2 linked regions of the Ovis aries genome follow. The protein of the gene in region 2 binds, or shares a complex with, the protein of the main gene of each other region. Links are inferred from orthologs where the notes say so. Each region holds a gene or a part of one and is shown on either strand. Other genes may lie near its edges.

Region 1 (7,712 bases), on a different chromosome or scaffold from region 2:
AAAAAAATATGAAATGATTTGTGAATTGCTTTTTTTCCCCCACTCTGTCATGCCAATTTATCAAAAAGAAATGAGCAGATATATCATGCATGTTGATTTTTCTTCAGTCCTCTGTGAAAACACGTATATACCTGCTATGAAATTTCTCAGCAGAATCCATAGCAGTTGTGCTTTTATCATACCAGTTTCTAAAATCTGTCAGAAAGGAAAGGGAACATTCAGTCTCGTCATCAGCACTGCTGGGAAATAAAATCATGAAACTTCTAGCACTGGTTTGACATGACCTCTGTGACCAGCAGATGTGTGGTCCTCTTGTGTACGGTATATACACCGGCTTGCAGTAACAGAACCGACAACCCTCCCTTAAAGAAAGGGAAGAGTCCAGTTTTTGTACCATAATAATCTATAGTACCCAATATATTATTTTTCGATCTTCTTGATAATTCTAGCAAGGTACTGACTCTTTTACTAGATTGAAGTGTTTCTTACAGTCTTTCGAATTATAATCAGAGCAAAGCAAGATCATTGCAACAATGAAGAACATCTCTTTACTGGTGAAAGGCTTGCCTTCAGGACCACCATGTCAACTGCTATATTTAGGTTCAAACAGAAAACATGTAAAGAGCACTATTGTCATCTAAGCAATAAGTCCTAATGCCACTGTAGTTACTGGAGCAGCATCGATCAAAGGCATCATGGTGACCCCGAGCACTCATCTTCTCTCTTTCCTTCAGGTTTGCTGGCAGCTGTGTCTTAGAAAAAGCTGTCTCCAGCAAGGCAGAAGCAGGTAAGAGAAATGCATTAGAAGTCTATGTCCCATCCCGAGTTGTCGTCAGGTGGTGGTTCGTCATTGTCCTCAGGGAAACTGTCAAAATTGCTTGTGTCTGTGGGTGATGCCACCTGTAAACAAGAGTATTAGTGGAATTCCAAGCTAGATTTTTAAAAGCAATCTTTATTCATTCCTTATTCAGTGGCTATTTTGGGCATGTCTACCATGAGCAGGAGTTGTCCTTTGTATTGAGGATTACAGTGGTGAATAAAAATAGGCATAGCTTTGCCCTTCTAGAGTTTACACTCTAGGGAAGAATAAGTTGTGTGATTAAAAGAAATAATTAGAAAACATCTCTGTAAACTCTTACAAGTTGACTGGCAGTTCAATATGCAGAGCATAAATAAAGGTGCTGAAGAAGCAGACTTTAGTTTCTCTCATATTCTATAATATTTAGGACTTCATATTCTATTCTATATATTTACATACATTATATATATATATATATATATATATATATATATTCTTCCATTTAATTTAATACTACTGTCGCATAAAAGGAGACCCCTGGTGAGTATAAGTTAGGATATTTTAGGCTTTTATTTTCCTCTTAAAGTTTCTTATTCTGCCTTTGTTCTAAAAAGAAAACTTCATGAATGCAGTTAACATCTGTACTTTACTTTGTTTGTGAATAAACATAAATATAAGCATACAAATTAAAATAATAAGTACAGCAATTGTTTCTGTATAAGGAGTGATCTTAAATTAGTCCCAGAAGAAAGGATGTATATAAATGAAGAGCTCAGGAGTGCAAAACAGCCCTCTCCTCATTAGTTAAGACCGAACAGATTTTATTAGATAGATGCTGTATTGAATAAAAATATAAATGCAGTCAATTGAAATCTATTTCGGGTTAACACAGTGTAAACACTTGGTTCACTTTGTGGACTAGTAGTTTAACAAAACACCTGCTATATTAGAAGGGAATGTCTTTCTTTTAGAGCCTGATCAAACAATAAAAGAAAAGAACTGTGCTTAGGAACACTTTAAAGAACTATGGGGGCAGAGGAGGAGGAAGTATGTGGAGCATAAATGAAACGATATTGGCCAGGAATTGAAAACGGTTGAAACTGGTAGCTGAACTGTTGTCTAAACTCAACAAAAAACCACAGGGCAGGGAATGTTGTGATGTGGCCCATTTGGATTGGACTCTTGGAGACAGAGCATGGTGGAGTCATAACCAGAAGGTAAGAATAACAGATTCCTAACTCATCTAAGTATACTCAAGTACACACTACAGAGCTTTTGCATCTTATATAGACAATTACATGAATGTGCAGAAATTTAAAATAATTTATGAATATGACTAACTAAGGTTGTAAATATATTCTTGGGCAAAGATGTATAAAGTTCTTATAGTATGTGGAAAAAGAGATTCATTATACTCTTCTGTCAACACTTGTATATTTAACACATTATAAGTTTGAATTTTAGAAGGTGTCATTTTGTTAATCTGCTATTTCTCCTATGTTTTAAGCTGATCATAGGATAAAAAGTTTGAAATAGCAGATGTGTATCACACAATTACAAGCTGGAAAGTTTACTTACACTTGGTATTATAGGAGGTGTCAAGGTGCCTTTTCTTAAGCCTTCCCAGTTAAAGCCCTCAAACCATCTAAAAGAGGAAAAAATAGATAGTTAAAGGCATTTTACCTCAGTTAAAGCCTTCTCAAAACAACTTATATGATGTCCATGACTGATGGAAAACAGGTAAGCAAACATTTTCATTATAAGAATAATGTTTTCTATTTAATTGCAGATTTTAAATGTTAGCTTCTTAAGTGGAATGCATTTTTTAAAAAAAATCTAATTGTCAAAATTTTAAAGACCAATAGCAATTGCTTTTTATTCTAGTTATTTCAGTCATGACCTTGTTCCAAAATGATCATTATAACTTAATAAATGCCATAATATGCTTGGCCCTGTACCCTACAGGTTGTTATTTTAAGGAGGCAGAATCAGGGAATGAAATGTCAGGAGGGAAAATTATCCTTCCATCTTTGTTACTGGGCAGCCTCAGTTAATTAACCTTTTCACATCACTGTCTTGGTCTCTATGTATCTGTATCTCATTTTCTTTCTTTCTTTTTTTGGTTCAATGAAGGTACTTTGAGTATGGCTTTTTGTGAAAATGGGGACCAAATATCACAAAGGTCTTTGTTGTTGTTGTTGTCTTTGAAAGATTTCATCATTAGCAAATAATTACATGAAATTCCCGCAGGCTTTTTAGACATTCATAGGTATTGTGGGAAACACATTCCTTTGGTAAGGATATGAATTTCCTCTGCATGTTACAGAAACCAATAGGGAAAGACCAATATGATCTTGGTTTAGCTTTAGAACATTCAATCAACATGGGTAAGGTTTACTGTTTAAGATGCTACATTGTTTTAAAAAATGACTGTACTCTGTACTTTTTTTCCTACTGTCAGAGCATCCAATTAGGAAATGGTTGAAAACATATGTTTTAGTTAAGGAAATGAGGCATGATATATGGTGGCATACTTTTGTTTTTAATATTCTGGTAGAGAATAGAATTTCAGAATTAAAAATATGTATTTCTTCTTCATGCTGGAGAGGAAAAGTCCTAATTAGTAGGAGCTGGGAAAAACTAAATTCAGTGATTCTGTTGTTCAGAAGGTCACAGGATCAGATGCGTCTAAATAAAGTCCTTGAGACAAAACTAGAAAGATCTTAAATAACAAGGCTAACTAGTTTGCCTGTCTCATCGGATGCTCCTATGGACTAGTTGCATCAGTTATATAACCACTAACTTAAAATCATCAGCCTTGGGAAATATTCTCTGAACGCTTAAACCATAAGTTATAAGAACACTTACTTGTGCTTTTGAATGTCTTTCACTCCGTTTTTCAAATTCCCTAATCTTTCTGATGGATTATCCCTGAAAATAAAATAATAATTGTTAAAAAATCTATTTTTTTAAAGGATCATAATGGGAAAAACAATGCGGTCGAAATGCTCACCTGCACAGTTTTTTAATTAAATTAGCAGCATTTTTGGCAATCTTCTTTGGAAATTCTATCATGTCAATCCCCCTCAATATGATGTTATAGGTTTTCATAGGATCTGGGCCTGAGAAAGGTGGGCTGCAAGAATGACAGATATGAAGAGAGAGATAGTATTTAGTTTTCTAAACAAGAAAAGTTACAGTGTTATAACAACAACTCCACAAATGACATCAGTTCTTATTTGGAGACATATAGTAACAGGGGTAGTGGAACGAAACTTGATTCATAGCAAAACGGTGTAGAAACCTTGCTGAGCAAATCATTTAGCAAAACCCTTAAATGGGTCGGGTTTGTCCACTGTTCCCCTCATTTCTGTTTTAGTGCTGGTGACTAACCCCGCTTGCTGTTCTTAGTCATTCAGAAAGCCTCTTCTACTTTTTGGCCCTTTCTCACATTTGCAAGCTCACTGACTACACTTGAAGTCCAACATCATTAGAATGGGCGACAGGAGCATCACTGATATGACCCCATCTTATGCCAGCTCTACCCTCACTCACTGGGATCCAGGCGTACCAGTCTTCTCTCTGCTCCTCTGAAGGACCAAATATTCTCCCACCTCAGGGCACTGTTCATTTTGCCTGGAAGTTTCTTCCCAGGCCTCCTGGTTAATGCCTCACTTATGAAGTCTTAGCTTAAGTGTTATGTTGCTTACTCAGAAAGGCCTACTGTGATCAACCTAATACAGCCAATCACAGAACCATTATCAACTAACATAATGTAATGGTCTAATACCAGAACTTAAAGTTAGATTCACCTATCATACTCTCTTATAGAACTCTTTTTTTGCCACTTATTGTGCTTTGTAACTACTTCATTTTGTATTTGTTTTATACCCATCTTCTCTTCCAGTTCCACGCTGGTATTCCCAGAGTCTGGGGGAATGCATAGCACAGAGTAAGTTGTCAGTAAATATTTGTTGAACTAATGCTCCTACAGAATAGTGCTCCTCCTATGCTTTTCTCCTTCTTTATCAGCCTTCAGAGATAACCTAACCTAAGACCTCCTCTTTGTTAGAAAGGATGTAGTGGCCAATCCCTCGTAACCAAATCTTTGGGTTTATTTACCTAGCCATCCTGGGCCTGTGGCTTTGTGCCTGGCTCAGGGAATACAGAAGTGACTAAAGTCAACTCCTTCCACCACATTCCCCAAGTTCAGAAATAATGATGATGTGACTTGATAGCTGATTTCCTTGGAAATTACTCTAATACAGTGTTTATTCATATTTTTTGGGGGAAGACATTTTATGGATTATTTTCTGTCTGTCATATTTATTAACAGCAGTTCAAATTATTTCCTTCTACTGAGAAAGCTGAAAACAATGAATTACTTAAAAAGGGTTGGATAGTATCTGCCTTAAGTTTTGTGTCCCTATTTTCTGTAGCAAGTACTTTAAAAAAATATTTTATATTGGAGTTCTTTGGAAGGAATGATGCTAAAGCTGAAACTCCAGTACTTTGGCCACCTGATGCGAAGAGTTGACTCATTGGAAAAGACTCTGATGCTGGGAGGGATTGGGGGCAGGAGGAGAAGGGGATGACAGAGGATGAGATGGCTGGATGGCATCACCGACTCGACGGACATGACTTTGAGTGAACTCCGGGAGTTGGTGATGGACAGGGAGGCCTGGCGTGCTGTGGTTCGTGGGGTCGCAGAGTCAGACATGACTGAGCAACTGAACGGAACTGAACTGATAGCAGACTGACAAGACTGTGACAGTTGCAGGTGGACAGCATTGGGGTTCAGCCACATGTATCCATTCTCCCCCCAAATCCCCTCCCATCCAGACTGCCACATAACATTGAGCAGAATTCCCTGTGCTATACAGTAGGACCTTGTTGGTTAACCATTTTAAATGTAGTAGTGTGCACATATTAGTTGAAAACTGCCTAATCATCGCTTTCCCCCAGGCCTTTCCCCTGGCAACCATAAGTTTGTTCAGTAAATCTGTGAGTCTGTTTTTGTTTTGTAAATAAGTTCATTTGTATATTTTCTTTCTTTATTCCACACACATGGGATGTCATGAGATTTCTCCTTCTCTGACTTCACTCAGTATGAAAGTCTCTAAGTCCATCCATGTGCCATTACTTCATTCTTTTTATGGCTGAGTAATATTCCATTGCATATATTCACCGCAGCCGCTGCTTTATCCACTCATCTGCTGATGGCCATTTAGGTTGCTTCCATGTCCTGGCTATTGTAAGCAGTGCTGCAATGAACACGGGGGTGCATGTATCCTTTCTCACCATGGTTTTATCCGGATATAGGTCCAGGAATGAGACTGCAGGGTCACAAGGTAGCTCTATTTTTAGTTTTTTAAGAAACATCCATACTGTTTTTCATAGCAACTGTGCCAATTTAATTCCTACCAGTAGTGTAGGAGAATTCCTTTCCTTCTACATCCTCTCCAGCATTTACTTGTGGATTTTTTGATGATATCCATTTTGACTGGCGTGCGGTGATACTCATTGTAGTTTGGATTTGGATTTCTCTAATAGTGATATTAGAAAATTAGAGATACCAAGGGAACATTTCATGCAAAGATGGGCATGATAAAAGACAGAAATGGTATGGACCTAACAGAAGCAAAAGATACTAAGAAGAGGTGGCAAGAATACACAGAACTGTACAAAAAAGATCTTCACGACCAAGATAATCATGATGGTGTGATCACTCACCTAGGGCCAGACATCCTGGAATGTGAAGTCAAGTGGGCCTTAGAAAGCATCACTACAAACGAAGCTAGTGGAGGTGATGGAATTCCAGTGGAGCTATTTCAAATCCTGAAAGATGATGCTGTGAAAGTGCTGCACTCAATATGCCAGCACATTTGGAAAATTCAGCAGTGGCCACAGGACTGGAAAAGGTCAGTTTTCATTCCAATTCCAAAGAAAGGCAATGCCAAAGAATGCTCAAACTACTGCACAATTGCACTCATCTCACATGCTAGTAAAGTAATGGTCAAAATTCTCCAAGCCAGGCTTCAGCAATACGTGAACCGTGAACTTCCTGATGTTCAAGCTGGTTTTAGAAAAGGCAGAGAAACCGGAGATCCAATTGCCAGCATCTGCTGGATCATGGAAAAACAAGAGAGTTCCAGAAAAACATCTATTTCTGCTTTATTGACTATGCCAAAGCCTTTGACTGTGTAGATCATAATACACTGTGGCAAATTCTGAAGGAGATGGGAATACTAGACCACCTGACCTGCCTCTTGAGAAACCTATATAAAGGTCAGGAAACAACAGAACTGGACGTGGAACAGACTGGTTCCAAATAGGAAAAGGAGTATGTCAAGGCTGTATATTGTCACCCTGCTTATTTAACTTATATGCAGAGTACATCAGGAGAAACGCTGGGCTGGAAGAAGCACAAGCTGGAATCAAGACTGCCGGGAGAAATGTCAGTAACCTCAGATATGCAGATGACACCACCCTTATGGCAGAAAGCGAAGAGGAACTGAAAAGCCTCTTGATGAAAGTGAAAGAGGAGTGAAAAAGTTGGCTTAAAGCTCAACATTCAGAAAACTAAGATCATGACATGGCAAATAGATGGGGAAACAGTGTTAGACTTTATTTTTTTGGGGCTCCAAAATCACTGCAGATGGTGACTGCAGCCATGAAATTAAAAGACGCTTACTCCTTGGAAGAAAAGTTATGACCAACCTAGATAGCATATTCAAAAGCAGAGACATTACTTTGCCAACAAAGGTCTGTGTAGTCAAGGCTATGGTTTTTCCAGTGGTCATGTATGGATGTGAGAGTTGGACTATGAAGAAAGCTGAGCGCCGAAGAATTGATGCTTCTTAACTGTGGTGTTGGAGAAGACTCTTGAGAGTCCTTTGGACTGCAAGGAGGT
Region 2 (8,403 bases):
ACTTATCCACTTCTTCACCAACACTGTTGTTTTCTCTTAGTCCTTACTCCATTTTTCCTCAAATCATTTACTACCTGTCATACTATAATACTTGCTTTTTATATTGGCTGCCTCCCCTGAACTAGCACTTAAGACCTCTTAGGAATAGGGCGCTTGAGGACTTTCCTGGTGGTCCAGTGATTAAGAATTTGCCTCTCCTTCCAGAGGATATGAGGGTTCGATCCTTTGGCAGGGAACTAAGATTGCACTTACAACTTGGCCTACATGCTGCAACTAGAGAAAGTTCGTTTATCACAACAAGACCCAAAGCAGCCAAAATTTAAAAAATAAAAGGTATAGGACTTCTACTGCTGTAACCTCAGCATCTGGAACACACCCTGGCACATAGCAGGTACTCCAAAGATTTGAATGAAGGAATAAAATAGTTTAACCATAATTTTAGTCAGCATTAGAATTGCTAGGATAGATTTATCACACCAAGTGCCTTAAACTATGTCCAGTTTAGGGAAGAATCCAGACAAAGTTCATTACAAGGAATAGTTCAGTGGATGGTGGTTCCAACTCATCCTCATTAGCAATAGCCTCAGAACCACAAACACTATGACAACTGGTAGGAATCAAGGAAATTGTCATTCACGTCACTGACTTCAAGCCTTAGTTGATTTCATCAAAAGAGTCAGGAAAAAATTAAAACAGGCTAAGTGAACTAAAAAAAAAACTATGTATTAATACTTACAATTAATAAACAGCCTGTGAAAGCAATGTGTTTTATTTTAAAAGATCAAACCAACAGCAAAGAAAACCGACACTGGCCTTGGGCAGGCTTTTAATCAGATGTATGCAAGTACAGCTTGACCTGAAAACTTAACTACAGGCCTAATTTTAATATTTTGAGTTTTTTCTGTTGTTCAAATTTGGTGTCTGTTGTTTCACTTTGGTTTAAGAGTTGCTCATAAATAAATCAGATTTTCCATTCAATCATTACAAATGAACTAAAAAGCCATTTGATTTTTTTGCTGTGCAAGTCGGTTGGTTGCACACCATTGTATTAGAAGTTTCTTTCTCTCTTTAAGACCATGGTCTTCCTCAGTTGAAAATACTTTGATATATAAAGCAATGGATCTGATTTCAGTTCACCTATCTCTTCTCTAAGCAAAGTTTCCACGTCTTCTTCCTAAAGATGCTTATTCTCTCCAGAAGGCAACCACTTTGTTTAAATAGGTAACACCATTGTCAACCCCAAAGAACTTCCATGAGTCTCAAACGGGAGACCAGGAGCAATTCATTTCGAGCATGAAGAACTTTGCCTGCCTGATAAGAAGGAAATCTTGGTAGGATATTGTTTCAATTTGAATTATTCAAAAAGCAGATTATACTTTCAACACATACATACACGCAAGTGAAAGTAAGAAACGAAAAAGAAAAGTGATCTTGCACAGTTGGCCACAAAGCAAACTAAGAATATATGAAAAGACAGTCAACATTTCACAGTTCAGATTCACTGCAATTTAAACTTACAAATTATTCCAATAGAGCAACACCTGATTCTTGTAACCTACTCAGATGCCTTGATGTAGCTGATCAAGATGCATTTCAGGTGTGAAATAAACCCAGTGTTGAATCCAGACAGTGTTACTTGTAGTTTGGATTCTTTTACTCTCCTCATGTAGGCTTTCAGCAGACAGTTTTCTACAATGAACTCAGTACAATACCTAAGACCTCCTCAAAAACCAAGAGTCTTTCTACGGCTACATTGTTTTTTTCCTATATCAAGGTCACTTTGTTCCTTTATCATTGGTAGGACACAATGAAGAGTTATTTCTTCAACAGCAATACATGTACCATTTTTCCTAGTTACCCTCATATTCCCCCTCCACTGAGACGCATTTGTGGGAAATAGCAAAATCCCAAAGCCTGGGGTTACAGCTTGCATCCACTGGACAAGTGATCTCACTCTGCACCTCAGCTTCTTCGCCCGTACCTGACTCACAGGGTTCCTGTGATGTATAGCTATGGACCTGGCTTACAAGTACTTCATGTCTATTATTCTCATTTTTAGCAACCAGTCAGAGAAGATTTTGTGGACCACTTTCTCCTTGCCTGCAGCTTCCTCTGAAGAGGGGAACTGAACCCAATCCTTGGCCTTATGAATGCCCACGTAGCTATGGGAGTCAAGAGAACTCCAAAAAGGAAGTGGACCTCACACATCCAAATACTTCCCACTCCACCAGCACTCCGGAGGATCTTATCAACAGGAAACAAAAGCACAATACTACTATAATGAAGTGTCTGACTTCTTTTCTAATTAGAAAAGCCCAAAGATTGTAGCCCAGGGAACAGCTAAATATTTAGAATGTTAAATAAGTTATGAAGACCCAGGCCCCACCCACCTGTATTACCCTGTTGTTTATCCTATCCCTAACCATTTCAGAAGAAAAAGCTTGTGATGCTCAAATCTGCAGCAATGGGCATTTGTGCACCTGGTAAAACCTCCCTCTCTTGAAGTGCAGTCTGAACATTTGCAGGAGAAAACATAAGAGCTGCTTGCGTTTACAGATAAATGATGCTCTCAGCTCATATCCCATGACAGGCACCTAAACCAGAGGAATCCACCAGATTCCTTGATGCTCAGGTGGCATCAAGGATTGGATGTTACTTTCTTAAGCTTCAAGAACTTCCCTTTTTCAAGTTCAATTTGCCAGCAACCCACTTGAATCTCTTGCCACACAACCTACTCTGATTAAACACATATTCACAGTATAAGGGGGAAAAAAAAGGAAAGTGACTATTTTTGAAAGAGGGAAGCAGATAAATTTTGCTTATGTATCTTGGCAGATGAAATGCACTGCATCTTTCAAAATTTAAATCATCAGCACACCTCCTGGCAAGTTCAATTCTCAGATCACCAGTGGGCATCCCTTTTACTGCTCCATCTCTTTCTTTTTTCCCCCTGCTCCCGTAAACCTTCAGGCTGCTTCACTTCTGAGTCAGGGCCAAAAGTACTAGACAGGACTGCCCCCTGGATCTCATACATTCCCTAAAGCCCTTACCACAGGCAGTGACAAATTTCAGAGAATTTGCCATGGAGTTTCCTGTCTCTTCCTACTCCCCATCTCCATGACTCCTTAGCGAGAACTTAAAATAGGCTTAGGACCAAAACTCATTATTAACTACAGCTTTCAGGCTTCCGCACTCACCTGACCCAGGTCAGGCACTCTGTTGCCAAAACACGCCCAGCCAGGGGTGTGAGTTCTGCTCCCTGGTGGTCAGCTCCTAAGTAATTGAGAAAGAAAGAAAGCTGAATGCGAGATTGGACAGAAGTGGGTCCCTAATAGAAATTTTCAAATTCTACATTTCCACTTTCAGTTAACCTCCTTCCTGGAGAGACAACCCTCCTCCCTCCCCCAAAACACACACATACACACGCAGGACCGCCACCACCACCAGATTTGACAGGTAGGTTGGTGGGTTCACTTAGGTAAAGATTACTGGTCATTTCATCTGTTTCCAATATACAACTGACAAGTGAGACTAAGTACGCACAAACTTCGAACGCGCCGTGGGGCTGAAACTAAGAGAAGTGTTTGGCTGATCCCAAAGCACTTGTTTCCAGGAGCGGAGGCCAAGTATCCAAAGCCCGCATCCCCATCAGGCGTGAGCTCCGTCCACACTTCATCCGTCACCGCTCCCCGGGTTCTCTTCCGTTTTTCTAAAACCTCCCCACTGGGGCCCCCACATATGCATTCCTCTCCCTTGCAGCACAACGGAAGGCTGCATTTTAAGAAAGATTGTTTCCTTTAGCCTACTCACATAGGACATCTCCACGACCTCCCTCCCTGCCCCCTCGCCACCAAAACCCACTATTTTCTGCAGCTGCTGCTAGTTTCCAACTTGGGGGAATGCCTTTACAACCCAGAATGAGTAGCCTCAAAGCCAGTCGATGGAATCGAGAATTTTTTTTAACCTTAAATGAACACCCCCAAAATGCCCTCAGGAAAAGAACCCCCAGAATGCATGCAAGTGCATGAAAATCCACCAAGAACGAGAAGAGAGCGAGGCAAAAACTTCTGCTCCTGGGGACAGTACCAACTCCCCGCGCCCTCTACCCGGCCCCCAGCCGCTACCTTAGTGCCCGGGGAGCCACGCCACTTTGGCGGAGCAGGGCGAGGAGAGGGGGTTAGCAGCCGCTGGGTAATCCCATGTCCGCGAAGAGGGAGCTCGTTCCGTTAGGATGGAAGCGGAACACCCACACCTCCTCTCGGCGTGCGATTTCTCTCTCTCCACCCTCTGCCTCCTCCTCCACCACCACCACCTCCTCCTTCTCTCCTCCCACCCCAGCGAGCTAGAGGAAACGCTTCAGCAGCACATCCACATGGTTACTGCACTTCGAAGCAGCTCCTGGCAGCTTATATAGGCCGGGACGCTCCCTGGGCAATGTAGTCCGAGTCCGGGGTCGTGGCAGCGCCTGGGGCTGCGAGGGTGAACTACAAGTCCCAGAATCCCATGGGTTCCCAGGCTGGGCTCTAAATAGACGCGCACGGGGACAGGGAGGGGCGTCCTGCGGGGAGTCCGGGCTTCAAACCCGGCTCTGCGCCGAGAACCCGTTGGCTTAGGAACCCGCGACTCAAAACCACCCGTGGGGGGCGCCCCCAGCCCTTGGGGACGCTCCTCCGTCGGCTGCCCCATTTCTCTAGAATCCAGGTGTCATTGGGAGCAGGGGGCGGGGAAGAGCTCGGATTTCTGCTTTGGGAAGTTTTTACAAGCTGTTACCCACCCTTCCCCCGCTTTGAGTACCCAGCCAAGAATTTCAGAAATCCAGGGCACAAAAACTCCAGTGTTTGCGGTCAAGGATTAAAGGCGTGAGGTTGTCTTTATTTAAGCTGTTCCGCTTTCTTCGGGTTTGCACAGAAATCTAAGTCTGGGAGCAACGCAAGTGGGAACACAGGCAAGAGGCTTGAGAGCACTTTCCTGAACCCGAACTGCGCTTGTCTTTCCTTGCCCCTCAGGAGGTAAAGAAACGCAAGCGTCTCCGTGCACATGTAAAGGAGCCTGGTTGTGACTTGCCGGTGCTGAGATTGAGAGGCAGAAAATAAATACGAATCACGACCTCGGTGCTGACCCTGCTACAAGCAGCCCCTCTCCTCCCGGGAGTTGCAAATGCTTAAGTAAATAAACCGCAAACCAGAAAAATAAGGGCTTTGGAGCGAGCCGCTCACAAGAAGATGCGCGTCCAGGCGGGGCGCCCTCCAGCAGGTCCTACAGGGGCTTCCGGGACATAAAGTGGATTCAGCTCACTGCTAAGTGATACCTGGACATCCCGGGCTATCTGCTCAGGCTCCCGCTTTGGGAAGGTGGGCAAGTCGAGCCTCAGATGTGCGTTCATTCTCCCGACGTTTCCTGAGAGTGTACTGGGTGCCAGGCACTGGGGCATGGTGTTGAGTGTTCCACTGTGTTCCGGATAGGCACTGCCTACCGCCGCAAAAGATCTGCTACAACAGCAACAGCAATAATAATAATTGAGGAGTTTGACTCTTTTGAGCCCAGCCCACATGCGCTTTTCATGAGTTTTAACAACCCTTGACTTATTTATTGTCCCTATTTGACAGAGGCACAACTGAGAGCTCAAAGAAATCAGATGAATTCTCAAGATGACACCATCAGTTAAGTAGTGCAGCCCGGATTCCAATTCCAGCCTATAAGTATACTAAGTCCTTGTCTCCGGGGAAATCCGTCAGCACTACTTTAAATGGCCTCCCTCCCCATTTTGGGAGCAGCCTCTGAGCCCTTGGGCAAGTCATTTTTTATCTCTTTGCCCTAGTTTTGCCATCGGAGAGGGAGAAAAATCATTAGAATTTGCCAATCTTTTGTCAGGATTGCTTGATACAGAGTCCACAGTCTTGCGGACTTCAGCAACAAATTAGGGAAGCACCATAGCTAATAATTATTACTGACATAATAATGCCCAAAGTAATAATAATTATTGGCTAATAATAATTTAGATAATAATTATTGGATTCATGCCATGTGCCAGGCATTATTCTAAACTCTTCATGTACATTCTCTCATCAAGTCCTATTAATGAACTTTTTTTTTTAACTTATGAGAAAGTTGAGGCATAGAGAAGTTAAATAACTCCCAAAGTCACACAGCGGGGTAGGCTGTCTTGACTCCCAAACCTTGGTTCTTCTTTTTTTTTTTTTTCTTGGCTGCCTTAGGTTTTAGTTGCAGCATGTGGGATCTTAGTTTCCCAACCAGGGGTCGAACCTATGTCCCTTGGGATTCTTAACCACTGGACCACCAGGGAAGTCTCCCAATCCTTAGTTCTTAACCACTGCCATCCACAGCTTCCCCAATGTAAACATATACATTGTATTTGTCTGCTCATATAAGCATTTAATCAGCAAGAATGGTTATCACTTTCACTCTTGTCTCCTCTTTTTCAACATCATCCTCTGGTTGTTGGACACCACAGCCTTGTGCCTAAAGCCTCAAGCTACCAGTCCCATCAGCAAGATGCTCCCCTGACCTGTCACAAAAAATGAATCCACACCTTACATATCTGTCCCCTTTCTTCTTTTCCTTCATGAAAACAATCTGTTCCATTTCTAAATGGTTTGTGGCTCTATGTTTTAAATTCAACAAATCATTCTATGCTAACATAACTGGTAAACATTAAAGGTGATTATTTCCTGTGCTTCTAACTCAGAGAAACAGTGGGATTTTAAAGTGGGTTTTCTTAAGAAAACTTGGTCATGTCTGAGGGCTGGAGTTGGGTAATATTCATCCTCACCATACTGTGGACGCCTGACCTTTAACTGTTATCTCCACTGTCTTCTCATCGAGAAGACAAGTTTCATTAAAGGCAGGGGCCATCTTTTATTCATGGTTGTATTCCCTACCATTCCTAACTCAGAAAGCCTTAGTCCTTTGTCTGTGTATTTTTTTACATATGCCAAAAAAAAAAAAAAAGTTCATTCTAAAAAGGTGTTTTGACAGGAGGTGTGGCAGGCATGTGGCAAGCTAGATGAACGTATTTTCTGGGCACACACCTTGTAGCCCATTTGCGTCACAGACTGTTTCCTCTACCTGTATGTATGAATAGTCCTTTTCAACATTATGCAACTAACCTCAAGTTCTGGAAGCTACTGGGTCACCAGAAGGTAGTTGTAATAAATTTGCAATGATGCTCAGAAGTTCTCTGCGATGGTGTATGACTGGTGATTGATATCACAATAAAAGGGCCACTGCCCAACTCACCCTCCATTATCTATAGAGGTAAGGGGGCTTATTTGTCTTAGTTGTATTTTTCCCTAGAAAAATTTTCTAGATCTGTGCTCTCTAATACAGTAGCTACAAAACATTTGGGCACTTAAGATGTAGCTATTTGTAACTGAGATGTGAAGAAAGTGTAGAATACACACTAAACTTCAAACACTTATGACAGGAAAGTTAAAATATCTCATCAATATTTTTATATTGATCACATGGTAAAATGATAATATTCGGATATGAGTTAAACAAAGTAACTATTAAAACTAATGTCACCTCACATTGTATACCTTAATGTTACACAATATATAAATTATATTTCATTTTTAAAAAATTATGTTAGATATTTAATTCTATTTAAACTAATACATTTACTAAAGCATTATTTGGAATAAAAAATGAATGTCATCTGTTTCCTTTTAAACTTTTTTACTATATCACTACAATATTCAAAATTATGCACAAGGCTTATATCATACACAACTGGACAGTGCTGGTCTAGAGCACCGAGAGTCTGATTCTCAAGATCCAATTTGAGATGACGACCAGCCCTGAAAGCTGCCATTTATGACTCTGCCCTTGAAAATGCCCTATGCGGGGAAGTAGAAGGGCTCTGCAGTCAGGACGCTTTAACAGACTGAGCAGACATCTGAAGAACATCCAAAACTAGCACACCAGCTACCCCAGGGAAACCCTGCAAATAGAAACAGGTTCTCATCAGTGGCATTTAGCTAAAAATTGCAACTGAATTAATCTTCCTAGAAGCCCACCCACAAATGCTACCCTGATTAAGACAGCAAGATATGCTGGAGAAAGCAAAGATCGGGAAAAAAACAAAGGGTGTGGCCCCTAGCTGCACCCTTAATATCCATGTAACTGTGGCCAGTCACAGTGATTTTGATAGAGTGAAGCCAATGGTCTTTGTTCTGCCAACCTCACCAGATCACACACGTCATTGGACATGAGTGGCTTTGCAAGCTCACCCTAGTGTACCAAGACAACACTGTCAACAAGCATGAGAAAATGTTGATTGTGATGAAAGAAGACTCACCTCCAAACCAAACATCAGATTAATAGGGCAATATTAGTCCCCATTTTCGTCCAGGTAAAAGATTCTATTGCACTGGCCAAAAA

What was found.
Region 1: ITPR1 (region 2) and PRKG1 share a complex: the UniProt entries of both Homo sapiens proteins name them as parts of the cGMP kinase signaling complex. The link is inferred for Ovis aries from reciprocal best matches to the Homo sapiens genes ITPR1 and PRKG1.

The regions. Positions count from the first base shown.
Region 1 is NC_056075.1:6,691,467-6,699,178, forward strand, and holds part of PRKG1 (cGMP-dependent protein kinase 1), read right to left. Parts: intron 3,936-7,712; coding exon 3,813-3,935; intron 3,731-3,812; coding exon 3,668-3,730; intron 2,445-3,667; coding exon 2,378-2,444; intron 901-2,377; coding exon 802-900; 3' UTR 1-801. UniProt on the Homo sapiens protein: Serine/threonine protein kinase that acts as a key mediator of the nitric oxide (NO)/cGMP signaling pathway. GMP binding activates PRKG1, which phosphorylates serines and threonines on many cellular proteins.
Region 2 is NC_056072.1:21,855,552-21,863,954, forward strand, and holds the start of ITPR1 (inositol 1,4,5-trisphosphate receptor type 1), read right to left. Parts: upstream 4,387-8,403; 5' UTR 4,125-4,386; intron 3,274-4,124; 5' UTR 3,198-3,273; intron 1-3,197. UniProt on the Homo sapiens protein: Inositol 1,4,5-trisphosphate-gated calcium channel that, upon inositol 1,4,5-trisphosphate binding, mediates calcium release from the endoplasmic reticulum (ER).